Linked DNA regions of Tamandua tetradactyla. The protein of the gene in region 3 interacts with the protein of the main gene of each other region in a pairwise test. Links are inferred from orthologs where the notes say so. Each region holds a gene or a part of one and is shown on either strand. Other genes may lie near its edges.

Region 1 (7,226 bases), on a different chromosome or scaffold from region 3:
CATGCCACGGGTATCGATGTGGGGGTTACAGGTAAATTTTCATGAGTCGAAGAAAATTATTCACCTGTAACGAGGACCGGCTGGGACTCGGATACTTCGAGTCGTGTTTTCTAATCTCACACACCTGCCTTGCACGGGGCCTCACAACGACCGCCAGTGGCACTGCCCCGTCTCTGCATGGGTTCTGCCCACAGAGCCTCATGGTGAGGTGAAGCTGTGTCTCCCCACATTCCACCGTGTCTGAACATAAGGACAGCAACTCACCCAGGAGAGCAGGCGAGATGGGTCTTCTGGAAAGCGCAGCTCCTTTCTGAGATGCCGTTTTCTCCCACGCCGGACCTTTGCCAGCTTCTCACGATCCAGCCAGCCACCTTTGGGTCCAAAGGTTCTGGCACGTTCCTGCCGTGCACGCGCCAGTCCTCTTTGGTTGCAGCCCTTCGCCAGGAGGTTTTGTTGCTCCCTGCAGACTTTCACCAGCAATCTCCGCGTGAGACCGAATCCCTGGAGCAGGGGAGTCTGCAAAGGGGTCCCGGGACGCGTGGCTTGCGGCATTCAGATTATTTCTGCTGCAAATCTCCTTAATGTAGACATCAGAGGGCTGTGGGAAGGAAGCCTGGGTTATGTTTCAGCCGTGTGGCTTTTCTTACCAGAGCAAGTGTGTACAAACTCTTTTGTCCACTCGTAAATATGTAGCAACCTGTGCACGGATGGTTGCTTGGAAGGATACATCAGAACTGGAGACCTTAGTCTGGGTAGTAGCTCTGTCAGCTCCTATCTGGTGGGCACTAATGGTTCAGTCGTTTTCCTGCTAAAAACCACCATGGGACATAGTTTATAGAAATGTATAGTTCTGGGGCGCACGGGTGGCTCAGGGGTGGAATGCTCACCTTCCATGCAGGAGACCCAGGTTCGGCTCCCCTACCATGCACCCCCAAAAAAGAAAAAAGTTATATATATACCTATATGAATTAATATGTGCCTATGAAATGTATTTTATATAAATATGACAGTTGATTGCCTATGTCTGTAATTTTGGTGGAATCCAAATAAAAAGCAAATCATGAAGGTGGAGGGAAGAGGAAGGAAATTCAACTTGGACTAGGAAGGGGGTGTGTGTGGCGGGTACAGGTGGGTCTGGGGGTGCGTTGGGGATTGGGTTGGGGGCCGGGGACCTCACGGAAAAGCCCCCAGAGAGTGTCCCTAAAGGCCATGCCCCACACCCCCATCTGGTCCTTGGGAAGCCGTGTGTCCCCGACTGTAGACCCCAGAAGGCTTCCTGGAGGCGGCGGCACCTCTGCTGAGCGGAGGGCACAGGCTCCCTGGAGGTCTGGAGAGAACCTCAGGTCCCGGGGTTGGTCCTGTCCGGAGAAGGTGGTTGGGGGCTGGTGCATGTGGGGCGTCCCCCAGGCTGGCCCTCAAAGAAAGGGAAGTTGGAAAGTAACCAGTGACACCATCTTGGATACTGGATAAAGGGCTCATGGGGGGGGGGCATTATATGACACACTCTCCCTCTTGAATTTTTTATGGTAAAACTGTAAAAAACCAAGAGAAAGCATGACAGACACAACGTATCTTTCTGTTTTTATTAGGAACGACATGCAAAAAACAATAGCGAGGGGACCCTGAGAAGAAATGTGTCCATGTACCTGTGCCCATGTGTCCTGAAGGGGTTTTAATTACTTAGAGCCCAAAAGGGACCTCGAGGTTGGAATCCTGCACCTGGCAGGCTGACCTGACCCCCCACCCTTGAGGTGGAAATCATCCCTTCTGTGTTCTTTCTGCATATTCCAGCTGCATACCAGGGTCATTCTATTTCAGCATGCCAGTGAATGAAAACTGCCCTCTGGGTTTCTCTTTTTGTGGCAAGGGGTGCAGACAAGCCCTAAGATACCACGTGTGCAAGGAGAGCTGCAGCCCTCCCCGGGGCCCTTGGAAGGTCGGTCCCCGTCAGGGGCCTGCACTGGGCATGAGGTGATACACCAAAGACGGGGCTCCCCCACGCTCAGCACATTTGGAGCAATCAGCGAACACCCAAAATGTTTCAGATATTTAAGCATTCCTCATATTAAATGAGTTATTTAATACAACCCAGTAGACAAAGACGGAGGAGTGAGCATTCCTAGGCAGTCAATTCTCCTTGTCCCCACTCTCAGGTCAGGGAGCTTCATTCTTCAAGGTGACCCACCAGCCCACAGGTATTTGTCTCCCCACACCCTTCTTTCCCAAGTTCCGGGTTTCTCGAGTTTTCCCACTGCCCTTCGAGAAGGGCAAATGGGGCCTGTGTACGTCTAACTCCACGGGTTAGCGCTTTCTATGGATAAGCGTGTCCTGAATCCCAGCCAGCCACGAGAGCCGCCACCTTCGATCCCCAGGAGGGGCCGGGTTCGTCTCCTCCGCCCCCACCTGCTTGAGGGGAACTTTCCACTCTCGCTCACTCCAGAGGCCACGGGGCTTGCTCTGGAGGTAATGCCAGAGGCCCCGCTCCTGGGACCCACCGGCTCACCAGGGAATGAGTAATTTCTTGGGCCCTTCCCAGCCCAGACAGGCTGATTTTGTGGAAGAATGGGCTGGAAGCTTCCTTTCGGCAATTCTCCCAGGCCAGACCCTTTGACCCTCCAAACTGTCCGAGCTGGTCTCCTCCAGCCCCAGGGCCTCTGGAACTTGGCCAGCCTCAAGCCCTTTTCCTTATCTGCCTTATAGGGAAGGGTCGAAGCCGGCTGGAATGGACAAGGACATTGCAAGCTGGTGGAATGCATGGGATGGAAGTCCCAGAAAGAGGGTCCCTTCCATGCGTCCATCCACTCAGTGGGTCAACCTGCCGGGCATACTGGCCATAAAAAAAAAAAAAAGATAAAAAAGAAGGGGGAAGGGAACAAAGGAGGGAGGGAAGGAAAGAGAGAGGAAGGATGCAAAGGAGGAGGAAAGAGAAAGAAAGGTGCAGGGAGGCAGGAAGGTGGGGCTTTGCTGCTGGGTGGCTGACGGGGCTGTTTGACCTCGGGGCTGGTCCCACGGAAGGGTTCAGCCTGTGGAAAGTCAGCTCATGGGACACACGTGGGTCTTGGGCAGTTTTCCATAAACCCAACAAAAAGGTCAGAGCATTCCCAGGCATGCCTGGGTGTGCCTGTGCAGGGGCAGGCCGGGTAGCGCCTGGCCTGCTCTTCCCCGAGCCCCCAAATCTCAGCACTGCCTTGCAGGGGACGAGGAAAAAGTGTCCACGCTGGAGGCCCTGGGACCTGCCCGTGAGGACCATGGGGGGGCTCCACAGCCTGCCTTGGGCCTCCAGGTACTTGGTGCAGGAAAACCCAAAGGTGCAGGCTCAGAAGGAGCCCCCACTCTAACGGGGGAACAGGGCAGAGGGTAGCCCACCCTCCCAGGGGTGCAGGCTCAAAGGGAGCCCCCATTCTCCCAGGGTCGCAGAGTCAGAGGGAGCCCCCACCATTCCAAGGTCGCAGAGTCAGAGAGAGCCCCCACCCTCCCAGGGGCGCAGAGACAGGGGGAGCCCCCACCCTCCCAGGGGTGCAGAGTCAGCGGGGGCCCGCACCCTCCCAGGGGCGCAGAGTCAGGGGACCCGCACTCTCTCAGGGTTGCAGAGTCAGGGGACCCCCACCCACCCGGGGGGTGCAGAGTCAGGGGACCCCCACCCTCCCGGGGGCGCAGGCGCAGAGGGAGCCCCACCCTCCCGGGGGCGCAGAGTCGGGTAGCTCCCACCCTCCCGGGGGCGCACAGTCAGGGGAACCCCCACCCTCCCGGGGGCGCAGGCGCAGAGGGAGCCCCACCCTCCAGGGGTTCCGCAGAGAGACAGGGCGGGGCGCGGGAGCGATAGGGAGAGGCCCCGAGCCCCGGCACCCTCCCCTGGGTGTGGGCGGACGGGCCCCGTCGTCGGCGGTCCCGAGGCCCTCAGGGGCCCCTTCTCTGCGTCCCGCGCGGCCTCCCCCGTGACCTTGAGAAGGTCACGGCCTCCCCGCGGCCCCCCGGCTCGCACGGCGCATGGGCAGGCGCGTCTCCCGGCATACCTCGGGGCGGCGCGTCCGGCCGGAAGGGGCGGGACGCGGCGCGCGGCGCAGCCAATGAGCGCGACGGAGCGGGGCGGTGACGCGGCTCCCGGCATCCCGCGGCGCGCGGGCCGGGGCGGGGAGTGGGCGTGGAATGGGCGTGGCACGACGCGGCGCGGCCAATGGGCGCTGGGGGCGGGCCCGCGGGGCGGGGCGAGGGCGCCTTAGCGGCTGCGCGCTGGGCGCCGCGTCCTTTCGGTGCCGGCGGCGCGACCCTCCCGGCTGCCCGCGCTCGCACCCGGCCCCGCAGCCATGACGGAACAGGCCATCTCCTTCGCCAAGGACTTCCTGGCGGGCGGCATCGCCGCCGCCATCTCCAAGACGGCCGTGGCCCCTATCGAGCGGGTCAAGCTGCTGCTGCAGGTGGGGCGGCCCGGGGCCGGGGGCGCCGCGCGCCGGGGAGGGCCGGGCGCAGGCGGGCGCCGGAAGTGGAGGCCGCGGCGCTTTGTCCGCGCGCGGGACACTTCCGTGGGCGGGGCGAGCCCGGGGCACGTGGGGGCCGCCGCCTGCCGGGGCCCGTGGGCCGGCCACGTGGGGGGCGCGCGGCGGGACCGGCCCCGGGCCCCCTGGATGGGGGGGGGATGGGCTTGACCTTGGTTGACCTTGCCATTGCGCGCGTCTCCAAGCCCGCTGGGCTCCCCCCTAAAATGCTGCGTGTCCCAGGCCCTTGGGGTCTTTTCCCTCCTGTTGCTTTAAGGGGTTGCGTGCAGCTGCGCCCCCCGGAATCCTGCCCCAGGGATGGTGCAAGTGTCCAGAAGCAGGCGAAACTGCTTCCAGGAGCCCGTCGTGGCCTCCGGCTCCAACGACGGGCTTCTCGAGATCGCGGCAAGGAGGACCGTTGCAGGACGCTGCCCCCGGGGGGTATGCATGCCCTGTAACGGGGCTCCCAGGACGCGCAGGCGGCGTCTGTGGTCCGGGAACGCCCTCGCGATCCTTGGCCCGCTCCCTTGCAGGTCCAGCACGCCAGCAAGCAGATCGCGGCGGACAAGCAGTACAAGGGCATCGTGGACTGCATCGTCCGCATCCCCAAGGAGCAGGGCATTCTCTCCTTCTGGAGGGGGAACCTGGCCAACGTCATCCGCTACTTCCCCACCCAAGCCCTCAACTTCGCCTTCAAGGATAAGTATAAGCAGGTGTTCCTGGGCGGCGTCGACAAGCACACCCAGTTCTGGAGGTATTTTGCCGGCAACCTGGCCTCCGGCGGGGCCGCCGGAGCCACCTCCCTTTGCTTCGTCTACCCGCTGGATTTCGCGAGAACCCGTTTGGCGGCCGATGTTGGGAAATCGGGGGCAGAAAGAGAATTCAAAGGCCTGGGAGACTGTCTGGTGAAAATCACCAAGTCCGACGGCGTCCGAGGCCTGTACCAGGGTTTCAACGTGTCCGTACAAGGCATCATCATCTACAGGGCCGCCTATTTCGGCGTGTACGATACAGCCAAAGGTAAGCTGCTGAGAAGGTCGGGAGCCTGGACCTTCCACGTGGAAGCGTTTGACATTTCCTCTAAGGAACGGGGTGTGTGGGGTAGCCATTCCCAAGACCACAGTTCCCTGTTCTAGAGAGGCGTCCCTAGGCTCTAAACCTGAGCATCTGGGACGGGAGCTGTTACTGCGACTGCCATGCTGTGATGTGCACTAGGCTGTTTGCTCCCGTCCTGCTTGGGTGACGGACCCTGCAGGAAAGCCGTCCTGAGTCCTCCAAGTTTTGTAAAAATTAGGTGGTTCTGGGAACTGATCCCTCTGGACCCACGGGCTTCAGTTCTTTGCAAAACAGTTTGCAAAGTTTTGGGCTTTGCAAAACTCTAGTGCTGCCTTTCCCAAGCACGTGACTGTGTGTGATGACGCCTCACGTTGGCTGGTCCCTCCGTAGGTATGCTCCCTGACCCCAAGAATACCCACATTGTGGTGAGCTGGATGATTGCCCAGACGGTGACAGCTGTCGCCGGCGTGGTCTCCTACCCCTTCGACACCGTGAGGCGGCGGATGATGATGCAGTCTGGACGCAAAGGAGGTACCTTGTCTTTCAACTCCGCTTCCATGCTGAGCAAACGCACGTTTCTTAAAGCATGTGTGGAAAGTAAAAAGAGGTGCGCTGCTCAATTTGCCTTCTTGCCTCCATCCTGATGAGGCCCAGAATGATCAAAGAACACACTTCCCAAAAAAAGTTTTGGGGAATATTTTATCAAAGTAGCCTAGACCTGAAGTAGGCGTTCTTGTTACGAACAGGCTTCTCTTCTTGGCAGGTGTTCCTTTCTTGAGGTGACGGTCTCTGAACCCCTCTTTCCCCTTCCTTTCACTGACTCCCGCTCCTGTCTGTCATCCCTGGACCTGGGGTTCTGAGTGGGAATGGCGAAAACGGGGCTAAGGCCTCTGCACTGGAACTCTCCAGAAGGACCCTGTTTTCCTCTGTGACCAAAACTTGAGTTTTCAAGTTGTCCAGACATCGCCATGTGGGGTTTTACTGCTTTAAAGTCCCTTTGGTTTGCATGGTGCTTGTTTCCCGAGGAACTTAACAGTTACACCCTAACTCTCCTTGCAGCTGACATCATGTACAGAGGCACTGTCGACTGCTGGAGGAAGATATTCAAGGATGAAGGTGGCAAAGCGTTCTTCAAGGGTGCTTGGTCGAACGTTCTCAGAGGCATGGGTGGAGCCTTCGTGCTGGTTCTGTACGACGAACTGAAAAAGGTCATCTAAGTGTGTCTGTCTTAACTAGAATCGGGAACCAAGAATCATGTAGAATCCTTCCTTAACCATTATGGACCATTGACCTTTGAGAAATTCCTATCGTTTTTACCCAGGCAGATCAACTCTGTAGAGAGCTAGGGAAAGCTCTAGAAAAGGGGATCATTGTGATTACATTGGACCACTGGCTCTGCTGATTCCATCTTTTGATTACTAGGGGGCAGGGAAGGGGAATCCTGACCATCGTGGGTCCCTGGGTGAGGCAGCTCAGCTTACACAGACCTAGAAACCCTCGAGTCCAAACGCTTGTAGGACCTTCCGTGGTGTTTAAGTATTTATTTAAAAAGAAATCATGTCTCCTATTTGTACTTAAGCACTATCTCCTTTTGCACAGCTGGACATTTGCAATTATGTTTTACGTTGGGCATTGTGCTGCAAAATAATAAATGAGCAGGACACTCGTAGAGGTGTGGTGTGGACTCGCTTTCTTTCC
Region 2 (7,089 bases), on a different chromosome or scaffold from region 3:
CCCCGATGCAAATATTTTTCCACTCACTGATCAAATCACTCTGGGATTCATCGGGGCATCACTCTGGACAAACCAACAAAATCTCATGCCCTACCCAAGATTCCAAGTATTTATGGTGTTCAATCAAGCTATCTACATAAGTTATAATAGGAAATGCACTAGTCAAAATATAAATTTTGTACCAAATATATATTTTTTGCTTTAGTCTCACTTAAATTATATTTTAAAATATTAATTACCATCTATTTTCAACTCCCAGCAGTAATGACATTCCTTTGTTCTTCCTCATGCAGAAATATTGTTAAATTTGTATATTTAGCCACTATCATTATATACTCAAGGCATTCCTAGATTATACCATCTGTCTTTATTGTCTATCTTTCTTTCTGATTTCATTTGTGCCCCCAGCCCTCTTCCCTCTATTATTCTCACATTCAGCTTCATTCAGTGTTCTAACATAATTGTATTACAGTTAGGTAGTACTGTACTATCCATTTCTGAGTTTTTACAATCAGTCATGTTGCACAATCTGTATCCATTCACCTTCAATTACCCAATATCTTACCCTATTTCTATCTTCTGATGGTCTCTGTTACCAACTGAAATTCTCCAAGTTCATTCACTAATGTCAGTCCATATCAGTGAGAACATATAGTATTTGTCCTTTTGTTTCTGGCTAATTTCACTCAGCATAATGTCCTTAAGGTCCATTCATGTTGTTACATACTTCATAACTTTATTCTGTCTTAAAGCTGCATAATATTCATCGTATGTATATACCACAGCTTGTTTAGCCACTTGCCCGTTGATGAACATTTTGGCTGTTTCTGTCTCTTTGCAATTGTAAACAATGCTGCTATAAACATTGGCGTGCAAATGTCCATTTGTGTCCTTGCCCTCATGTCCTCTGAGTAGATACTTAGCAATGGTATTTCTGGGTCATATGGCAATTCCATACTTACCTTCCTGAGGAACCGCCAGACTGCCTTCCACAGCATTTGTACCATTTGACATGCCACCAAAAGTGGATAAGTGTGCCTCTTTCTCCACATCCTCTCCAGCACTTGTCATTTTGTTTTACTGATAATGGCCATTCTGGTAGGTGTGAGATAATATCTCATTATAGCTTTTTTTTTTGTATGGGCAGGCATCGGGAATCAAACCCGGGTCTCCAGCATGGCAGGCGGAAATTCTGCCACTGAGCCACCATGGCCCGCCCATCTCATTGTGATTTTGATTTGCACTTCCCTAATAGCCAGGGAAGTTGAGCATTCATTGATTTGATGTTTGATGAGGTTTTCCACGTCTGTTTGAACATTCTGAATTAATTATTTCAACTCCTGTATCTCATTTGAATTGTTGGTTTGTTCCTTTGACTGGGCCATATCTTTAATTTTCCTTGTGTGATTCGTTATTTTTTTTGCTGGCATCTAGGCATTTAATTACCTTAATTAGTTTATTTTGGAGATTGCTTTCACTTCTTTTACCTAGGATTTTCTTGCTGGATGAATTTGTTGTCTATCTGTTCTTTGACATTCAGTTCAGCTTATTCTGGACCTCTAGCTTAGGTTTTGTTCAACAGAGGAGAATTTTTCAGTTCTTGTTTTCTTGTTTCTTGCCCTGCCTGTATGGTGCCTTCCCCGCCCACCCCACATCTTAGGAGGGTCTACTTAGGTATAATAGACCCAAGCCAGATTTTCCCAGACCAAACTGGCCTCCTATCAGGAGGAAAGAGTCACCTGCTTCGATTTTCCCTGAGGGTGAGACCTAGCAGGTTGAAAGACTTTCCCATGAAGTTTCTGGACTCTGTGTTTTTCCTATGTTGCCCAGTATGTGGTGCTTGTCTGCCTGCAGGTCCCACCAGCATAAGGTGATGTGGTACCTTTAACTTCAGGAGATTCTCCCTGCTGGGGGCATGGCAGAGACAGTGGAGAGGTTGTAGGATGGCTTTAATCACCTCAAATTTCCAACCCCCTGGGGTCTGAATTCTTTCAGGGAGGGAATCCACCTGAGCTAGGCCCCTCCCCTCTCCTAGGGAAGGCACAGGCTCCAGACAAGCTCTAAAACAAGCTTGTTTATGCCTATGCCTGGGGCTGTTGCAGCCTGAGAAGCCCTGCTGCTGTATCCAAAGGCAGTCAAGTCTTTGTAGAACATAGCCCCCAAAAAAGAAAGAGAAAAATCCTTCTCAGAGCAGGATCCCCATTTCTTGGGTTTGCCAATCAAGAGCATAAGTTGGTATGTTGACTGTGTACCTTCAGATTCTATGTGCCCCCTCCTTTCCTTCAGGGCCCAGACCCCTTCAAGTATTATATGCTATCCGATCCAAAAAACCTCTGTTTCTTTTTTCCTTTTTCAGTCACCCCTGCCCCCTCAGAGCCAGGGCAAAAATCAGCAACCTCCATTTTGAGGAGGTTCACCTGAGCTAGGGCCCTATTTTTAGTAGTCAGAATTTGTGAATTAATTCAGCAACTGGAGTTTGGTTGAGCTCAGCCTCTGCTGCAAAGTAACGTTCCTTTTGTTCACCCCTAGGAAGCAGCCTGTTGGGGAGGGGTGCCGACCACTGCAGCTTGGGGGACTCACGGTTCTGGGGGGGCTTGCAACTGGTCCAGCTGGTCCAGACTGGGGTACGCTGTGTGTCTGGTCACTGAAGTGGCCCCAGCAGTTGTTTTGTAGTGTTCCTGGCTACTTACTAGCTGTTCTGGAGGAAGAACTAAACCCCGTACCTTGCTAAGCTGCCATCTTGGCACCTCTATCTTTCTTTCTTGACAGCCCCTTTCAACATGAAAAAGTTAGAATGGCCAAAGCCCAAACACCCTTAAAGATTGGGATAGAAAGATCAAAGGTGATGGTGGAGTTATATAGAGAAGGTAGGGTTTAACAAGTTATATGACTGCTGAATCACTAAGTTGATATTTCTTTTAGTCTTCAGTATCTTAGAGTAGCTATAAGTAAAATCCTAAAATTGTGAAATTGTAATCCATACCAAAGTCTGAAACCTGTTCTACAACTAATTGTACTGTGGTTTGAAATTGTTTCTGTATATATTTTTTTCACAAAAAAGAAAAAAAAAGTTGATTGTGATGATAAAAAAACATTTATTCCTTCTAGCCTCTTATATTCTGTAACAGCTGGAAGGAAAACTCTTAGACGATGGTATAGTAGCCCATGACAAACTCTGGAATCTGTCCTATAACTACTTGCTGAAGAGTGCTTTAAAAACTATTGCCTTTTTCTCTCTTTGGTTTGTATATATGCTATATTGTACAATAAAAAAAAATTAAAAAAAAAAAAACCAAAAACAACTACCTAGGCTAGAATTCACCAACAAGTCGACCTTAGCCAAGCTACTTAGCAACTTTAAACCCCGGTCCTCCCATTTCCTGTGAAATTACGTTAATAACAGAGAAATCACGTTAATAATATGAGGACTAAATACTATTTCAAGTAGAACGCAACGGCACAGATTTAAGTACTTAGATGGTGCAGGTGCCTCACAGAGGGCCACTCTGCCCCTCACTTCAGTGTTCTCTTTACAGCTTAGAGGTTAAGAGCACAGATTCTGGATCCAGCCTGTCCCTCTGTGTCTATTTCTTCCTCCCGAAAATGGGGTAATAATAACCTATCTCACAGGGCAGTTGAGGATTAAATTAAATTAAAGTATGTAAAATGGTTAGAATCTGTGCCTAACGAGTAAACACAACGAAGTGTTTGCTACTATTTCCATTATCTTTAAGTTCTCTCAACATACCATTTCTTTCCTACCTCTGTTTCTTCTAATCATTCTTCTAGACTGGGTTCAAACACCACTTCCTCAGAGGGGGCCTTCCCGACCCCAACCCAGGTCCTCTTAGGACCGCTCTTTGACAGGACATCTTCGACCCCTACCACCAAACACGCGTATTCTAAGAAGCCCGCCGCATATCTCAACGGTAACAACTTCAGCCTGTTGCATGCCTTTTTCAAAAAACGTCTTTAAGACAGGGTCAACAGTGGGTACGCTCCCGCGAGCTTCCCCACGCGTTACCTTTGTCACGTGGACCCGCCGGGTGTGAAGCCACAAAGCCTCTAGCCGAACTAGGGGCGTTTCCTATCGACCCTCCACCCCTGCGCCCTTCGCGCATCCCGCCTCTAAGGCTGGGCCAAAAAGGAGGCGGAACTCTGTGAGTTGTACGGCGGTTTCCCAGCCGGACCGAAAAACCGTGCGCACGGAGGGTCCCGGGAAGAGTGCTTTGGGCTTTGACTCCCGCGACATGGCCTTTAACTTTGGAGCTCCTTCGGGCACTTCGGGCACCTCTGCAGCCCCCGCGGCTCCCGCGGGTGAGTGGTCCCTTCCGACCTTCTCCTGGGGAGGCGAGGAAGCCTTCGGGCCCTCTTGCCCCTCCTCGGGCCTGGGGGATCCTGCGGTCTCCCGCCCGCGAGAAATTTGGGGGCATCCGGAAAAGGGCGGGCGGCAGTGGAGGGGCGGAGGCGGCTCCTGAGGAGGCCGCCGAGGGGCTAGAGGTCCAACCCGCAGCTCGTGCTCCGTGCGTGGGTCTCCCCAGGGCCCTGTCTTTCCAAGGTGCGCTTCCCGCCGCCGCCGGGGAGTCCCGTTCCGTGAGACTCCCCTCTCCCCTTGCTTGAGACCCGCCTTCCCCTCCCTATCCTAGCTTCTGGGACAGGCGGGAAAGCTCTCGTGGCTCCCGCAGCCGAACTGGATGAAGCTAGGTTTGGGTAGCTCCGGACGCTGCCCTGCGGCTCCCTCTGTATCAGTTCGGAACAGGCAGGTGCCTACGCTGCGAGCCCTTTGGTCCTTGGTCCTTCCTACGGGTCTTCACGCTGCTGCTCCTGCTCTTCCCCACTTCCTGTGCTTTCTTAACTCATTTGGAGCAGTCAGGTTTGTTTCTGTTCACTTCTCTGAAACCTGCTGATTCTTCTAATTCTTATCTTTTCCTTTTTTTTTTTCTTCTTTCTCCTTAAAAATTGTTTTCTTTGTTTCTTTGCCTTCACGCCTATCAGGATTTGGTGGGCTTGAGACTGCCAACTCCGCCGCCAGTGGGTTTAATTTTGGGGGTTTCGGACTAACTGCTAATCCTGCAGTGAACTTTAATATTGGGAATTTCGGTGTTTCTACTACCTCGGCGCCTCCATTCAATTTTGGTAACAGTCTGGCAAGTGCAGGTAGATACTGCGGGTCGTATGTGTGACTAGTGTTGGGAGCTGGAGTCCAAGAATGTTTCGTGGTTCCTAGAATTTGGAACAGAACAGAACAGTGACTTGTCTAATAAAGGAAATTGATTTCCTAATGTCTAATTAAAACCATTTGTAAAAAAAAAAAAAGCATTTGTATCAAGTTTTAACTGTCTTGTTGAATCTTCAAAGATTCTGGGAAGTTCCCTTCTTAAATTTGCACTTAATTGAACTGAGTGTATCTTCCAAATGACAAGAATTTGGAATGGGTTATTATTTTGAATGTATCTTCCGAATTATTAGATTTATCTGCCAAAGTGTAAACTCACCGTTTAGGCCCATTTTCCAGAGATTCTTGGACTCCTGCAGTCATTTTTCATTTTTTTTTCGTCTTTCATTTCGACTTCATTTGATTGTCTTTCTGTTTCCCAAGGGAAACAAGTCTTATACGAACAGCAGTGACCTGTCTGGTTTTTTAACCTGTCTAAAAATAATATATTTCTGTAGTCAACTCTACAGATTAGGATACACTTTTGTAAGATATGTAACTGTATAATTCTTTACTGGATTTTGGTGATATAATTAGAATTATTAAATTTATTTTCAGGTAGTATTGAACCATATTAAAAGATAGGATAGACATCTTTGCACTCTAAAAGATCATTGTGAAGATCTTGCTATCTATTAAAAATTTTGCAAAACAAAAACTATAATGGATTGTGTAAATTTAAAGTAGGTCTGTGTACGCAGTTTACATACAGTGACCCTATAGAAAAATCTTGTTCCTTAGCTGCTCGTATATGAATTTTACTGTCCATATTCTCCTACATTATGCCACTTATGCCCATGCCAATTATATGCATTTGGTAAAGGTTCTTCTCTAAAATTTATTGGAAGGTTTGCTACTTTGAGCTTTCACTTGTTACTGCTATCTGAATATCACGCTGATGTTTGAGTTGAAAACAGTTTAAAGGGTGTTTGAAATTGCAAAGATAAAACGAATGATTACTTTTAAGATATATTTGAAGTGATCACATGCCCCTGTCTTTTAGTATGTTTACTTTTCCCTGTTTGCTTAAAATTGGCACTGGGTAAAACAGAAACATTATTTTGAAATTTGTTTCTGAGTAAAGCCACCAGCTCATATTCAACAAATATAAATAAACCTGTTGTTTGCTTGATTTCATTCTTCATTTGGTGTTATGTTTTATATTGTGGCAATGAAACGGTTTTAACTACTTTTATGTATGTTAATTAACCTAACCTTTTGCAAATGGCTGATAGAAATTCTTGTTTACGTTTTTATTTTGTACTCTTGTAGACCAGCTATAACAAATATTCTTGTATTGTGGACAAGATAATATAGTGACTGATATCTTTATTGTGAAGTCAATTTAGAAAATATCTTATCCTACGAACTTGAGGATTAATGTAAAAGATTAAGAACAAGGTTTAATACTTGAGGTGATTTTTATAAAAATGTTTACAGTTTGCAGCCCTGCAGTAGGACCTACAGATAAATAGGATATTTGGTTATCCCTGCATGCCACATACAGTCTACTTTTGAGTAATTTCCTTAATCAGAATTATATGATTTACAATCAAAGGTTGGTTTTTTCTTATATCTTTTATGTTACAGTCTTGATGAATCTCTGTCTTGTGTACTAGAAATATATAAGATGGTTAGACTCTCAGAAAATCTGCTCCATAACTCAGAGTAAGCAGGGTCTCCAAACATTTGTCTTGAAAGTCTTTTTGGTACCACATTGCTAATCAGCTAAAGACTGACAAGAAAGAAAAAAAAAACACGTGAAACTATTGTAGATTAACTAACATTTCATTCATATGTAGCTGTCTGAAATTTTTCTGTCATAGTTGACAGATTGTGTCAGAAGTATATTTAGCTCTTCTCACTTTCTTGGC
Region 3 (7,550 bases):
TGAGCCAGGACTCAACACGGGAATGAGAAAGCCTTCTTGACCAAACGGGGGAAGACAGAAATGAGAGAAACTAAAGTTTCAATGGCTGAGAGATTTCAAATAACGTTGAGAGGTTATCATGGAGGTTATTCTTATGCATTATATAGATATCCCTTTTTAGTTTATGGTGTATTGGAGTGGCTAGAGGGAAGTGCCTGAAACTGTTGAACTCTGTACCAGTACCCCGATTCTTGAAGACTGTATAACTATATAGCTTTTACAGTGTGATCATGTGTTTGTGAAAACCTTGTGTCTGATATTCCTTTTATCCAGGATATGGGCAGATGAATTAAAAAATAAGGAAAACCCAGAATGGCCATTATCAACAAAACAGAAAATGACAAGTGCTGGAGAGGATGTGGAGAAAGAGGCACACTTATCCACTGTTGGTGGGAATGTCAAATGGTGCAACCACTGTGGAAGGCAGTTTGGCGGTTCCTCAAAAAACTGAATATAGAATTGCTATACGACCCAGCAATACCATTGCTAGGTATCTACTCAAAGGACTTAAGGGCAAAGACACAAACGGACATTTGCACACCAATGTTTATAGCAGCATTATTTACAATTGCAAAGAGACGGAAACAGCCAAAATGTCCATCAACAGACGAGTGGCTAAACAAACTGTGGTATATACATATGATGGAATATTATGCAGCTTTAAGACAGAATAAACTTATGAAGCATGTAATAACATGGATGGACCTAGAGAACATTATGCTGAGTGAGTCTAGCCAAAAACTAAAGGACAAATACTGTATGGTCCCACTGATGTGAACCGACATTAGAGAATAAACTTGGAATATGTCATTGGTAACAGACCATCAGGAGATAGAAATAGGGTAAGATAATGGGTAATTAGAGCTGAAGGGATACAGACTGTGCAACAGGACTGGATACAAAAACCCAGAAATGGACAGCACAATACTACCTAATTGTAATGTAATTATGTTAAAACACTGAATGAAGCTGCATCTGAGGTATAGATTTTTGTTTGTTTGTTTATTTATTTTTATTTCTTTCTCTCTATTATCATTTTATTTCTTTTTCTGTTGTCTTTTTATTTCTTTTTCTAAATCGATGCAAATGTACTAAGAAATGATGAATATGCATCTATGTGATGATATTGGGAATTACTGATTGTATATGTAGAATGGAATGATTTCTAAATGTTGTGTTAGTTAATTTTTTAATTAATAAAAAAATAGATAATAGAAACTCAGGATGGACTTGTTGGAATTGATAAATAAATAATTGCCATTTGATAAAAAAATAAAAATAAAATAAAAAAATAAGGAAAACTGGGGGGGCCACAGTGGCTTAGCAGGCAAGAATGCTTGCTTGCCATGCAGGAGGACCCGGGTTTGATTCCCAGTGCCTGCACATGTGAAAAAAAAAAAATAAGGAAAACCAAATGGATAAATAGGGAGGAAAAAGGGCAAAAAAAATTGGGTAGACTGAAATACTAGTGGTCAATGAGAGGGAGAGGTCAGGGATATGCGATGTTTGTGTTTTTTGTTTTTATTTCTTTTTCTGGAGTGATGTAAATGTTCTAAAAATGATCATGGTGATGAATACACAACTGCATGATGATACTATAAGCCAATGACTGTATATTGTGGATGGACTGTACGTATGTGAAGATTTCTCAATAAAAAGTTTTAAAAAAAATACCTAGGTGTGATTATGTCATTACTCGGTAGCATTTAATGGCTCCCCATGATGCAAGAAATATATAATCCAAAATACTCTGCCCAGTGTTCAAGATGTTTCAAAATTGACACAAATTTATAGTTAACTAAATACCATAACTCGAACATGTGCCGACCAAACCACATTGACTATTCTTAAATCCTCAAACTTGCTCTCTTCTTCTAGAAAGCCCTTCCCCTCCATAGAAACCTTTCCTGTACTCGGATACTAATTCACCCTTTATAACTCTAAAATGCATGAAGCCTTTCACCATCAGTCCAGCAGGAAACATCTGTCCTTCCTTTGAATTATGAAAGCACTTTGCTGTACCTATGTCGTGATACCTATTTCACTTCGTAGAGTATTTTAAGATCCAGACATACTAACAGGGAATTAAGGTCCTTAAAAATATACCCCTACCTTTCAGCTTCTGGGCAAATCCACCACATGCTCCAACCACACAAATCGGGTATACTTTCCTAGTTTTTTGCCTTTGCACACTTTCTTCCCAACTGGAATGCCCTCCCCACTCATTTTAATCTGGAAACATATTATAGTTTTAAAAATTTATTCAAATATCACCTTGCTATGAAATAATCCCTAATTCCCTCAGTTACCCTTTTCTGACTACCACAGCACTTTTTTTCCCAGCATAAACCAACTATCCACGTGTCTTCCCGCCTTTCCCCCCAGCCCCATCAAAGTTCCCTAAAAAAAACAGGACCGTGTTTAACTGGTCCTTACAACCACTGTGCCCAGGACGGTGCCTGGCACATAGGAGAAAACTCAATAAACCTTGAGCGATCCTCCCTACTAAACCCTAAACTCACGGATTATAAAAGCATCAGCACAATTTATAAGGCCGAGTTACCTCAAACATTTCACGTTAGTAGGGACCATATTTCAAGCTTCTCCAGGCCCTTTCCCCAGCATCCAGCTTATGGCGTTCTGCCCAGCGCCCTCAAAGAAATAAATAATAATATAAATCATGTCCAAATCCCGCCAACTTCAAGTAAAGACTAAGAAGCCATCCTTTAGGGGAAACGCGATAAGGCTGGAGCCAGGACTCGAACCAAAGACCCACGCGGGAGTCTGCCGCGCGCTATCTCAATTTCTAAGCCCCAGATTCTCTCAGGCGGCCTGCCAGGACCTCCGGAGGCTAACAGTAGCCGAACTCACCAGCATTTCGTACCCGCGGACGCACGCCTCCCACGCTTCCACTCAGCTGGACGTTACTAGCCGGCCCGAACCCACAATCCAGAGCGGCCCTCATCGGACAACCAATCGCGCGGCGAACAGCGGGTCACGTGACTTAGGTCCTTGAAGCGGGGCCGGGAGGAGCAGCTAATCCGAGGCCGAGGCAAAAGCCCGGGGTGGAGTGGGCGCTTTTTGCGTCATTTCCTGGCGTCGGGGGATCTGTCTTGACTGCCAGATGGGTGGCTTTTTTTGCCCCGAGCAATTTTCCCACCCACCAACTCCCCCAACAATTCCAGTCCCTCCGATCTTGAGCTGTTAGTCTGAGAGGTTTTGCCGGTATCTTGGGAAGGGCATCTGAGGCGGGTTCGTTGTATTAGGATGTTCCAAGCGTTTGCGGGAAGAACTATTGATGCACAGTCATCCCACGGTATAGATTGCTCTTGAGCAGGATCCCGCTGAGAACTAGGAATTGGGGTGGGGGCACGGATTAAGATGGCCCTTTCTGCTCTGGGGAACTCCTTGGATGGTCCGGAGTGTGGGCCCTTCCTAAATAAGCGAAAGGTTGAGATTGATACCTTAAGAAAGGTGCAGATGAATATCAACGGGCGAAGGAGAGGAGGGAGGACTTCCTAGGACAAGTGGCATTTGATCTAGGTATGGAAGGTAGGGCTGAGGTTGAAAATGAGCTTCTGAGTGAAGAAATAGACTCCCAAATTAGATAAGAAAGAATGCGGGAGGCTTATCAGTTTTTAGATAAAGTTGATACAGTTGGTGCAATGCTTCTTAAAATTTGTTGAGGTAGGAACACCAGAAAGAGCCTGTTAACACTACAGATGTCTCATAGCTCTCCCAAGCGAGCAAACAAAACCAAAAATGCCTAATGACCAACTCGAATTTACTAAACCAAATATTTTAACGGGGCCTGGGCATGAATATTTTTAATAAGCAACCCACTGGTGATTCTGATTCACACCAAAGTTTGAGGACCATGGCAATGTTAAAGGAAGGAAATGGCAGGAGATTGGAAAGACAGGCCAAGGCTTTGTTAAGAAAGGTAGCTGGCTGGCTATGTAGTTCAGACCACTCTGAAGAAAGTGGGTGAATTAAAGATTTCTGAGTCCAAGGAGTTAGGTGATTAGAGCTGTACTTTAGAAAACTCAACCTGTAACTGTTTTTTAATGAATTGGAGGGAGAAAGAGAGTGAAAGGAGGTGAAGCTATTGCAGTGGTCTAGGTGATAGGTGATAGTTCTAAATTAGGACTGTAGTATTGGAAATGGAGAGATGGAAGATAGGAAAGGGAACCTGAGGATAGGGGTGGATAGGACATGAGGAAATAAAAAGAAAGGAGACAAAATGAAGTGTCTTCTGTACCAGATCCTCTAAGGACCTCCTTTGTACTTAAAAGATAGGCGAGTTTAGACATTAAAGAAAATGTGCCTTTGCACATGCTGTTTTCTCTACCTGCTTCATCCTTTTCCCCTGTCTTCCTTCCTCAACCTCAAACATTCTTACTTCAGGTTCCAGCTTACATAACATCTCATTTATGAAATCTTTTCTGATTTCACAAGCACGTTATTGTCACTCCTCAGAACACCCAGAGCCACTGTTTATAAATTGCTAGCTCTTCAGAGTGGTAATAGAGTTTAGTGGTAATTATTCGCATGGACTATAGGCAAGGACTTCTCTCTCTGTTCCTTAGTTTTCCGTTCCTTATAAAGGGGATAGTATTAACATCTACCTCATAGAGCTGTTATAAGACTTGATTGAGAATAAGGCTTAGTATACAGAGGGTTCAGTGATGTTGCTTTGTATATGTTGTACCGTGATGTGTCGTTTGCTGCATGTTTTCCCTCTCTAAGTTATGAACAGTACATGTTATTCTGGCTAGCAGTAAGGCTGTGTGGCAGAACGAGCTTTGTAATCAGGTAGATCATGGTTCAAATCCGATCTCTGCTACTACTCAGTGTGTAATTTTGAGCTTTACCTCCCTAAACTCAATTTCTTCATTCATAGAATGATGAAAATAATGCATGCTTTGTAAGTTGTTGTGAGGATATAAGATAATGAAAGTTCATCTTTGGCCCAAAGAAGGCAGTCAGTTATTTTGATTTGCAGCCCCAGAGCATAAGCACTATGTCTGGAACATAGTAAATATGTAATCACTGAGTAATGAAAGACAGGCTGACATTCTATGCCAGGCGCCATGCTAAGCTCTTTGTGTGCATAATCTTCCTTCATTATCACAAGAAGTCTTTGCAGGAGGCATAACTGTTTTTTCCATTTACACTGAAGGAATCTGAGGCTTAAATTAGTTTAACCGAAGTCTCAGCTAGAAAATGTGCTAGGATTTGAACACCATAAGTACTCAAAAAGTAGCTGATTGAATGGAAGAAGGAATGAAGGTTAAGTAACTTACCAAAGTCAAAAACTGGCATGGTGAGGCAGGGTTGTTGCTCTTGGTCACTGCTATCTGTACTGTTCAAATCATCTTTATGAAAATCAAGGATGAAATGGAGTCACCTGAGAGTCAAGATACCAATTTTTCCCCTTTGGCTGGTGTTTGGCAGTTCATATCTGGTGCACATGAGGATTGTGCTGTAACTGCCTCTATTAAAAAACTGAAATGCTTAATGAATGAATACATTTTAAATTAACTGGTGATTCTGGTTCTCAACCAATCACCAACGGCACGCCAAGATAACTTGTTTTTTTCCCAAGATAACTTTTGCAAGGCCTCAGAAATAAACAGTGTCCATGATACCAATTTCAAATTGTTTTGCATCAAGAACATTTGCTTTAGAAGTATTAGAGCCAAGACATGAGGTCCTTCCTGGCCTAGAGCGTAATGACTTACGTCCAGGTGACTTAACTAAAGCATATGAAGAATGAAGATCCCTTTTCTCAAGTTCCACATCTTGCCTTCCACTGAATTGATCCCCACAGCACACTGATGAAGAATAAGGAGGCAACAACCACCCAGTTTCTAGCACTCCTGTCCAAATGACTGTTTTTCCTGTTGACTGGGGAGAAAAAGGAGAGGTGCTTACATTTCTTTTCTTTTTTTTTAAATTTATTTATTTAAAAAATTTAAGAACAAACAAAAACATTAACATATAATTCCATTCTACATATATATTCAGTAATTCTCAATATCATCACATAGTTGCATATTCATCATTTCTTAGAACATTTGCATCAATTCAGAAAAAGAAATAAAAAGACAACAGAAAAAGAAATAAAACGATAACAGAAAAAAAAAGATTATACATACCATACCCCTTACCCCTCACTTTTGTTTGGTGCGTACATTTCTAATTTTGAAAGCTCTCAAGCAATTCAGAATCCCAAACTTGAAGAAGAAGGAGTAGGAGCATTTGAGTTACACAGGCCTAGCTTTCAATCCCAGATCCTACATTTACTAGCCATGTGTATTAGTGAGGGTTCTCAAGAGAAACAGAACCAACAGGAGAGATCCGTAAATATGAGATTTATAAAGATGTCTCTCTCATGCAACCATGAAAATGGAAGAGTCCAAAATCCATAAGGCAGGCTGTAAGGCTGGCGGCTCTGACGAAGGGTCTGGACGAAACCACAGGAGAGGCTCGCTGGCTGAAGAAGCCGTGAAAAAGTCTCTCTTCTTACTGAAAAGCATTCAGCTGATTGAATTATCTTCTTGTGGGAGACACACCTTAGGTGATTGCAGATGTAATCAGCCACAAATGCAGTCAACTCACTGATGACTTGATACACCAGTCTTCCAGTTTATCAACCATCCATGAAATATCCTTGAAACAACGGTCAGGCCAGTGCTTGCCTGGGTAGACAAATGGGCATAATCATTTAGCCATGCTGACACCAGAATGCTATGTAAACTCAGTCTCTATTAGTTGCCAGCATGGTCCCTTGCACCTAGTTAGCAGATGCCCAGTAAGTGATGGTCATGTTTTTATTGTGAATAATAGCACACCATGACAATTAGATATAGAACAGATTTCAAAGTTTGGTATGGGTTACAGTTCCACAATTTAAGGTTTTTTCCTTCTAGCTGCTCCAAGACACTGAACACTAAAAGAAATACCAATATAATGATTTGGTAATCTTACTCAATTGTTAAATCCTATCTTCTCTGTTATAACTCCATCTTCTTCTTTGATCTTATTCCCAATCTTAAGGGATATTTGGGCTATACTTTTTCTAACTTTTGTGTGTTGAAAAGGGCTGTCAAAAAATCCTAGAATGAGCTGGGACTCAGCATCAAGGGATCGAGAAAAACTTCTCAACTGAAAGGGGGAAGAGAGAAATGAGACAAAATAAAGTGTCAGTGGCTGAGAGATTTTAAATAGAGTCGAGAGATTATCCTGGAGGCTATTCTTACGCATTATATAGATAACCCCTTTTTAGTTTAAGGTGTAATAGGGAGACCGGAGGGAAGTGCCTGAAACTGTAGAGCTGTGTTCCAGTAGCCATGTTTCTTTAAGATGATTGTATAATGATATAGCTTTTGCAAAGTGACTGTATGTTTGTGAAAACCTTGTTCTGATGCTCCTTTTATCTACAGTATGTACAAACTGGTAAAAAATATATGGATTAAAAGTAAATAACAGGAGGAACAAATGTTAAA
Region 4 (7,823 bases), about 5.3 Mb from region 3:
ATGGAATCACACAGAAAAAGAAAAAAAAAGGAAAGAAAGAACACAGTATGTTCTGTACTTTAAAAAATTGAGTTACAGTCCTTGATAACCCAATATTTTCTATCATGACTCTACGGACTCTCATTTTCTTCTGACTTCATTTCGTGTAAGCCTCTATGTTTCAAGTTTTAAAGTTTCCCGTTTGTAACTTGGGTTTACTCTAAGTAGGTCAAATGAAGAATAATTTGAGTGCCACTTATTTTTGCAGATAGAAAAATTTGAAAGTTCTGCTTGGACTGGGATTTTCCTTTTATTATGTCTACTACTTACAGTTGGATGTTGTATGCAAGTCTGCTATTTCATTTAGTTTTTTTTAAAGAAACAGAATTTATAAGCCTTCCTTAGTAATGATGAGCATGCTCTCATCTCCACATCTGATCTAGTGGCTCAGTTAGATAGTAACTAAAATATAGAGATTGTAAGAATTGTCTGCATCAGGTTAGCTCTTATTTTCACTATGTGGAAATCTTCATATTTGAATGATCAGTGGAACTAACCTAAAACACTTTTCATGACTCTTGGTGCTATCATGGTAACTGAGAAAAGGAAAAACCAGAGTTTAAATCAATAAATACAGCCTCATATGAATATTACATATTTTTCATCACTGGTGTGTTGTGGAATGAAGTTAATTGTATGGTTATATGCTGTACTACATTAAACTCAGTTATTCAGTATATGAGCAAACAGGAAGAGTAAACAACCAGGTTTTCTGTTTATTTTAGATAAACCACTTTTATCAGTTATGACAGGTTGAAATAAGGTGTTAAAAATAATTTCTAATGTGTTCTAGGATTGGCAGATATTCAGATTGGGCTTCTACATTTTCAGGATGACTATATAAAAACTGTTCACAGTGATGAACCTGAGGCCTTCAAGATTCAGAATTACTTTCACATATACAACTTACTTACAAAAGGCCTTTTCAAAAATTTTTACACTGAGCATTTTAAAAAATGTTGAAGGAGTAAATTAGCTATTCTTGGAACTTTATTATTGTTAGCCAAAAATTTGTCTACCAATCTCAATTCTTAACCATTCTGTTCTGAAGAACTGAGGTTACTAACATAATAAGGCTGAAAATGTGCCTTGCTACTGGCAGAACTATCTTTAAATGGTATGGTAAAATTTCACAATTGCTGAAGGTACATATTTGTGGGTCATGCCTTGCTTTCAACTGGGGACAGTAATAATTCTTGGAGGTGAAAAGAGGCCATTCTACATATTTAGAGAAAGAGAAAAAAACCCGCCAAACTCCGTAACAATCATTCCCACAGCCTCACCCTCAGTTGCCACTATCAGTTGGGTGAAATTGCCTTTTCATTCTATAGATCCTTTCAAGTTTCTTGTAATTTTGTTTTTGGATGTGACTTGGCAACTCACTTATTAGGGCCATAATTCTATGTAGATATCTGTATTGATGTAGATAACTTTCCAAGATGACTTTTTAAGGTAATGTTATGAGCTACTTCAACCCTCTGCTGGGATCTGATTTAACCTATACAAAAATAGAGGAGGGGTCTAAACAATGAGCCTAGATTCCAGGCTAGCTCCCCACAGGGCTATTCTTGACTTTTGACTGGGAACATATCTAATCCCTATACAGAGAAAAGACTCCCTATAGATCCTATTGCTGTCCATGATACATTGTAAAACTTGATGTAAATTAGGTTTAAGTCAAGCCTGAGTAGTGAATGAGGTCAAGAGTATATGCTGAGGTTCTTTTCGTATTAAAATAAAAAGGCCATTACAACTTTTTTCTTGCTTGTAAATGCTTAATTTATTCTTTTTTTGTGGGGTGAGGTGGGGTAGTTTTGCCTTTGTTCAATGACTTGTCCAGGGTTAAAATCTGTGGGTACTGTATGTTGATGATACCTGAGCCGAAGGGATATTCATTTTCTCACTGGCCTTTGATAACATTTATTTTACTTGAAAAGATAGAGACTGCGCTTAATCCTGGTGGGATTCCTATCAGTGGCCCTAGCGGGCTGAGATGTTTAAAGCTGTTGTTTAAATGTCAAAACCACTTATCTTACTTGGATGTTGCTTGCTATAAAGTACATCTCTTTGGTTTCACTAGAATTTGAATTCTCATAAATAGTAGGTTAATTTTAAAATTTGGCTTTAATCTTTAATGTTTGAGAAATGCTTTTGTGACTTTCACAATGCAGCTAGCGCAAGCTGTTTTTAAAATGTCAATGTAAAAGGCACGGGTCTTAGTGCAGAGCTGCTTAAAGATGAATAGCTTCAGAGGACTCCTACAAAACACACACACACACACACACACACACACACACACACACACACACACACACACAAATACAGAGACAGAGAGACAGAGATAGAGAGGCCAACCAATATAGTTTTGCTAATGTAATGGCACTTGCTCACAGCACGTACCTACTATTATGAACATTCTGATAAAAATAACTTCTGATAGAAAGAACTTGACCATCTATTTTATTAACATGGCTACCTCACTAAAACATTTTATGGAACCAGAAGTCTGGGGTGTTAATTCATTCACAGCAATAGTCCTTTAAAAGACCATGTCATGTTGGAAAAAAAAATCAGGGTAGCTGGGTTTGTGTTCATTGATTTGTTAGGTTATCTATTCTCATTTCTAGCTTAATGTAGTGCCTGAAAACAATGCCTTGCAGGGGTGCTAAGGTAATTTATCAGCCTTTCTGGGTTCTAATCCAACGATTCACCTAACTGCTGCCTCCACACCATTAGCAAGATCATACTATCAAATGAAGCATCTCCTATTACTCCCCACCCCCCACCCCCCACTCCAATTAGATCTTTAAAAGGAATAGTTGTTTTTGTTTAATGTTTACCATCTGGACCTTTTTCCTCTTGAAAAACTTTGAATTTATTGTTTTGAAAGATATGAGCTGAAATATTACAAAGTGAGATGTTAGATTACAATTTTATTTTTTTCTTTTAAGTGATTTCTGAAAACAATGCATTCATTAGATTTCTATGTACGATGATAACACAGCAGTCACTTTAACAGAACCTCAGTGTACTTTTTGGTTAGATATTCCATGCCAAATATCTATGATACAATCAATGATTTGGGGATTCTAAATGTACTTAAAATAAAAAATGATAGCCAATATATGATACATAGCTCCGTGTATAACAAAATTATGAGACTGCAAGTATAACTTGATAAAACTGCTGAGTGCAATTTGAGTGCAATAAAACTCCCTTTTAAATTTGGAATTAAAAAATTTTAATTTAAAACTTGTCTATTTCCAAAAATGATTTAAAAGCAGATTAATATTAGACTAGTATTAGGTCCTTTCAAATGTTGCAGAATAGAGCATAATTCAACGATTTAAACAAAACAAAATGAAATTTGCCAAGCATAAATATTGTTACAACATGATGGCAAGGCTTTTCTTTGCAGAACAGTCTCTGCTCACTCACCTGCCAAAGATATTCATCTCATCTGCAGTATGGGAGCTATTTAGTATATTGGGCAAAACGCTAGACGCTACTAAAACGATTAACGAAACGTTTTTCACTCTATATATTGCTTAATATTCAAACCAAAATTTTTTATCCGATAAGGTTTTGTGTTCTTTAACTGAAAATAGTAGTAAAGATAATTGTGTAAATGAGCTTTTCCTCAAGATTTTTTCTGGGAAAACAAAACAAAATACATCTCTTACAAACTTGAAATGCACTGGACGAAATAATTTTACCCTTTACTGTATTGGTGAAATTGCGAAATATCGTTACAATTTATGCTTCAGCAATAAAATAGTGGGAAGGATATTATTAATGGATAACGAACGCCACAGATGCTTTAATGCTTATGAGAAGAAACGATGCTAAGGCTCTGAAGCGCTTAATTCCCAAACACTGCTAACCTACAAGCATTGTTGAGGTGGCCCTACCGAAATACACGGCTTATAGTTAATCCCTTTCTTCCAAGAGTGTACATTAACTACATCGAGGAAGACTCTTCATCCTTAGCCTAATTATCTAAATCCTTAAGTCTAAAAAATTATTTGATATGGCTAAAAAAAAATGCCTTCGCTACAATTTTTTGTCCAGTCCTCCAGGTTATTTATGAAACTCACACTCTTTAACGACAAACTGACTGCCAAACTAGGATATATGTCCGCCAAAACGTCCGCAGAAACGGTAAGAAAAACTATTACAAGGCCAGCTTGAGAAAACTTCTAAATGGCCTTCACTGTCTTTTGAGCCAATTAACACCCAAGGAGAATACTGGTTCCAGTTAGAATGCGCGCGTCAGTTTCTCCAAACCTCAAAGCAGCGTGTGTATAAGGGTAGGGATTTAAAAACCCATTTCATTTTCCCTACCCCCGCTCCCGGGGAAATAAGACACCACCTACTATATGAAACTAGGCGGGGGAGGAGTGCCGCAGCAAGCTGCCAAGAGCGCCCTGCAAGGACGTTTTCCTGAGTCACGGGGAAGGCGGGAGGTTGGGCCCATGTACCCACGTTACGTCCTCTTCCTAATGGACCCAGCTTAAATAGAAGAGTGCCAAACGAAAGGAAGCAGCACCCGTACTTCTTCAAGGTGGACCAACCGCCACCTCGTTCTCCAAAGAGCCGCATTCCCCCAGAACCCACTTTCCGTACTGACCGCTATCTGCAGACCGTTCCCTAACAATATCACGTGCACCCGGAAGTACGTGGGTGGAACCCAAACCGCCCACGGAAGTGACGTCGATCATCCCGAGTCGCATGATGTGGCAAAATGCAAAAAAAGGGGGGGAGGAATTGGAGTGGGCTGGAGAAAGTGATGAGTCTAAAAAAGTAGTCCCCTCGGTTCCTCTATTTATCCTAGTGTCTCGACAGTAAATGAGAAGCGCGGCGCACTGCGCCTGGAATTCCTGCGCCGTGCTGTGCCGTCGCACTCCGTGGAGGGGTACATAAGGAGGAGGGGGTGAGTCGACTGGGAGGAGTTCTGTCGCCAGGATCCCTCCGCAAGGCTCAGCCGTTTCCGGAGTTTGCGCTGCGCTCGGTTCCGCCATTGCGGCTCTCCCGGCCCCTGGAACCTCCGCCCCCGACCCGAGCTCTTTCGTCTGCCAGCCAGTTACCTGTGTCCCGGGAGAGTATCCTCCTGAACCCGGCATTCCCCTCCCCCTTCTCCTCCTCTCCCTAGGAGAGTCCGGGCGGTCGCTGCACTACAGCCCCAGTGACAGGAGGACACCATATCCCCCGACAGCGCCATGGCCCAGATTCTGCCGATTCGTTTTCAGGAGCATCTCCAGGTGCGTCTGGTTCCCGGCTGGTGAGGGCTGCGGAGGGGTTGGTAGAAAGGAAGGAAGAAGCTGTAGAGTGGGCGTAAAAGCAGAAAGAGTTGGGTCGGTGGTGAGGGGTGGGGGTGGGGGGTGGGGGATGTTGGAGCGTGGAGTAAATGGAGGAGGGGACGCTATCTTGGAAAGCTTAAAGGTTTTAAGAAATGATTTGGGGATTGGATGGAAAGGACAAGATTCGGGATGCAAAGGGCGATGAGGCCAGGCCTGGTTCCCAGGGCCTGTCTGTCTTGCTTCCTCAATCGCAAGAACTGCGTGTCCCCACTCCCCTCCCCCCCGCCCTTTATTCAGTTCATTCATTTGGGTAGGTGGGGTGGGGGAATGAGGCAGATTATTCCGCGTTACTCTTTCGGCAATGATTCTCATCACTTCCTGGGACAGTGCAGTGCTGTCACCTTCCATTGCTCATCTCCCTTTCCTCTGTGGTGTCTGCACCTTGGAGTTGTGGGGCGGGTGGTTTAGGGAGGAGCAACCTTTTTTTTTCTTCCTCTCTTTGCGGTTCTTAACAGGGAAGAGGTACCTTCTGGCGGTGGGAGAGACGCGGCTTCCTTGCCTTCCGCGAGGCAGTGGGAACAGAAGGTCACAGAAGGTGTAGAATGTGAAAACGTATTTCTCAGGGCGGTGTCTATCTCAGGGTGCATAGGGTCAAGGTTCCTAGGGGAATTTAGCCTTTTTTCCCCCCTCTTTCTCATTTTCTCTAGGTGAGGTGTGGCACTTAAGCCTCTTTTTGGTTTTAGGAGGTTAGAAGGAGTTATCTGGAGGTTATTTTGAGGTCTGCTGGAGTTTAGCAGATATTGTGGTTTCTCATTAATTCCTCCTCCAGGATTGCATGGAATGGAACAGAGCCCTCGGGGTAGTGCATACCTGCTTCAAGATATCCAGGGTCTGTAACTGACTGCCCTTTGGTAGGTTACAGAATTCTTCTGACTATGCCTTATTCTGAAAGCCACATACTGTTGTCTTATCTGGCATCATGCCCATGGCAGTGGAGGCAGATGATCCTTTAGTGGATTAGATGAAATTCTTTTCAGAGCTTTTGACTTCCTGGTTCACCAATCCTGCTTCTACTTGTGTTCATTTTGGCTGAAATAATTCATTCATACTAACTTGCTGACTTCCCAAATACCCTATTAAAGAAACCAGGTCAGTCTTCTGAAGAAAGACTAGTTTCATAGTGATAGAATACACAGTGGTACAGAATATACACTAATTTTAGTAAACTGTTGGACACTTTTCCATTGGAAGGCAATTTTATTTATTTTCTCTCATTCTTATAGCATACATAAAGAATCCTTGTTAATAAAAGTTTTATTTTTCAGGCTATGAGTAACATAATTTCATATTTCTTTACAGGTGTTCTCATTTACTTGCATCAGCAAACAGTTTTTTTCCATTAAGACTTGAAATGTAATGAACAATAAAATTTTACACATCAAATGAATTAGTGCACTTTCTTCAGTCATCAATAGTTTGCAAATAACTCATCTGAGGTAATAGAATATACATTGGCAATAACATACTATTTTACAAAAGATTACAAAAATATTAAGTGATAGATGGACATGGAGAAGTTACTTTTCATTCTCAATCCAAGTTTAATTACTGTGGTTACCTCTAAAAGTGGGGTGGTAAATAAATGTGGAGGGTTAGAAAAATACTGTTTTGGAGTGTGAGGTGAAAACACAGCTCATCCTTATACTGAAGTACGACTGAAACATGACTTTGCACACAAATGTTTGGTAGACCATATATGAGAAACAAGTACAGTTGCTGTTTATTTTACATGGTAGGGGTACAGCCCACTAGCACATCTTCTTCATTGACTGGTGGTAGTTTGTGTAATAGTTTTTCATTTTTATTAAGGAGAGAATTGTTAAGTGACCTTAGAGATTAGAATCCCAACTGTGCTGCTGTTTGAAGACATTAGATACACTCCTGATTTCTAAGTGGTTCCATGTTTCTGCAGATACTTGAGTGAAGCCATTTTCTACTCAAAGATTTTGAGAATAAAGTAGCTTTGCAAATATACTTCAAATTCAGCTATCCATTTTTTGAGAGATACATAGTGCCTAAGTTTAGTGTGATTGTGGCTCCAGCTGACATTAACTGCAAAGATTCAAATCACTGAAGTTTTCCAGGATAATATATTTCCTGACTTCCCATTTTTATCTCCTCCTTTATTTTAATTAACAATTTTGGTCCTTGACCTCTGAGCGTCTTTCTATTGCTAAGTAGCAAAAAAACTTTCTTAAAGATAAAAACTGGGAACAAGAAATGAGGAACTTGTGTGTAGAGTTTTAGCTTATTAAAGTTTCAAAAGACAAATGAACCTATTTTATAGCCTTTACCTATATTGACCAGGTGAAGAATCTGTAATCAAAGCTTGGACCTACATTGAATGAATGTTTATATTCTAAGTTATACAGGAAGTTTTGTTTTGTTTTTTTAAAAGGATGTTTAGGCTGATAGCAGTGAACA

The links.
Region 1: the proteins of AP2B1 (region 3) and SLC25A6 interact in binary tests that used the Homo sapiens proteins (3 or more experiments, as listed by UniProt). The link is inferred for Tamandua tetradactyla from reciprocal best matches to the Homo sapiens genes AP2B1 and SLC25A6.
Region 2: the proteins of AP2B1 (region 3) and NUP54 interact in binary tests that used the Homo sapiens proteins (3 or more experiments, as listed by UniProt). The two-hybrid records come from large-scale screens. The link is inferred for Tamandua tetradactyla from reciprocal best matches to the Homo sapiens genes AP2B1 and NUP54.
Region 4: the proteins of AP2B1 (region 3) and CLTC interact in a two-hybrid assay, tested with the Homo sapiens proteins (2 studies listed by BioGRID, with this or other methods). The link is inferred for Tamandua tetradactyla from reciprocal best matches to the Homo sapiens genes AP2B1 and CLTC.

The regions. Positions count from the first base shown.
Region 1 is NC_135353.1:173,458,189-173,465,414, forward strand, and holds SLC25A6 (ADP/ATP translocase 3), read left to right. Parts: upstream 1-4,220; 5' UTR 4,221-4,304; coding exon 4,305-4,415; intron 4,416-5,005; coding exon 5,006-5,492; intron 5,493-5,918; coding exon 5,919-6,059; intron 6,060-6,587; coding exon 6,588-6,745; 3' UTR 6,746-7,197; downstream 7,198-7,226. UniProt on the Homo sapiens protein: ADP:ATP antiporter that mediates import of ADP into the mitochondrial matrix for ATP synthesis, and export of ATP out to fuel the cell.
Region 2 is NC_135350.1:52,982,803-52,989,891, forward strand, and holds the start of NUP54 (nucleoporin p54), read left to right. Parts: upstream 1-4,083; 5' UTR 4,084-4,250; coding exon 4,251-4,317; intron 4,318-7,089. UniProt on the Homo sapiens protein: Component of the nuclear pore complex, a complex required for the trafficking across the nuclear membrane.
Region 3 is NC_135332.1:46,155,825-46,163,374, forward strand, and holds the start of AP2B1 (AP-2 complex subunit beta), read right to left. Parts: upstream 3,007-7,550; 5' UTR 2,911-3,006; intron 1-2,910. UniProt on the Homo sapiens protein: Component of the adaptor protein complex 2 (AP-2). Adaptor protein complexes function in protein transport via transport vesicles in different membrane traffic pathways.
Region 4 is NC_135332.1:40,809,598-40,817,420, forward strand, and holds the start of CLTC (clathrin heavy chain 1), read left to right. Parts: upstream 1-4,814; 5' UTR 4,815-4,972; intron 4,973-4,982; exon of another isoform or gene 4,983-5,191; 5' UTR 5,192-5,258; coding exon 5,259-5,300; intron 5,301-7,823. UniProt on the Homo sapiens protein: Clathrin is the major protein of the polyhedral coat of coated pits and vesicles. Two different adapter protein complexes link the clathrin lattice either to the plasma membrane or to the trans-Golgi network.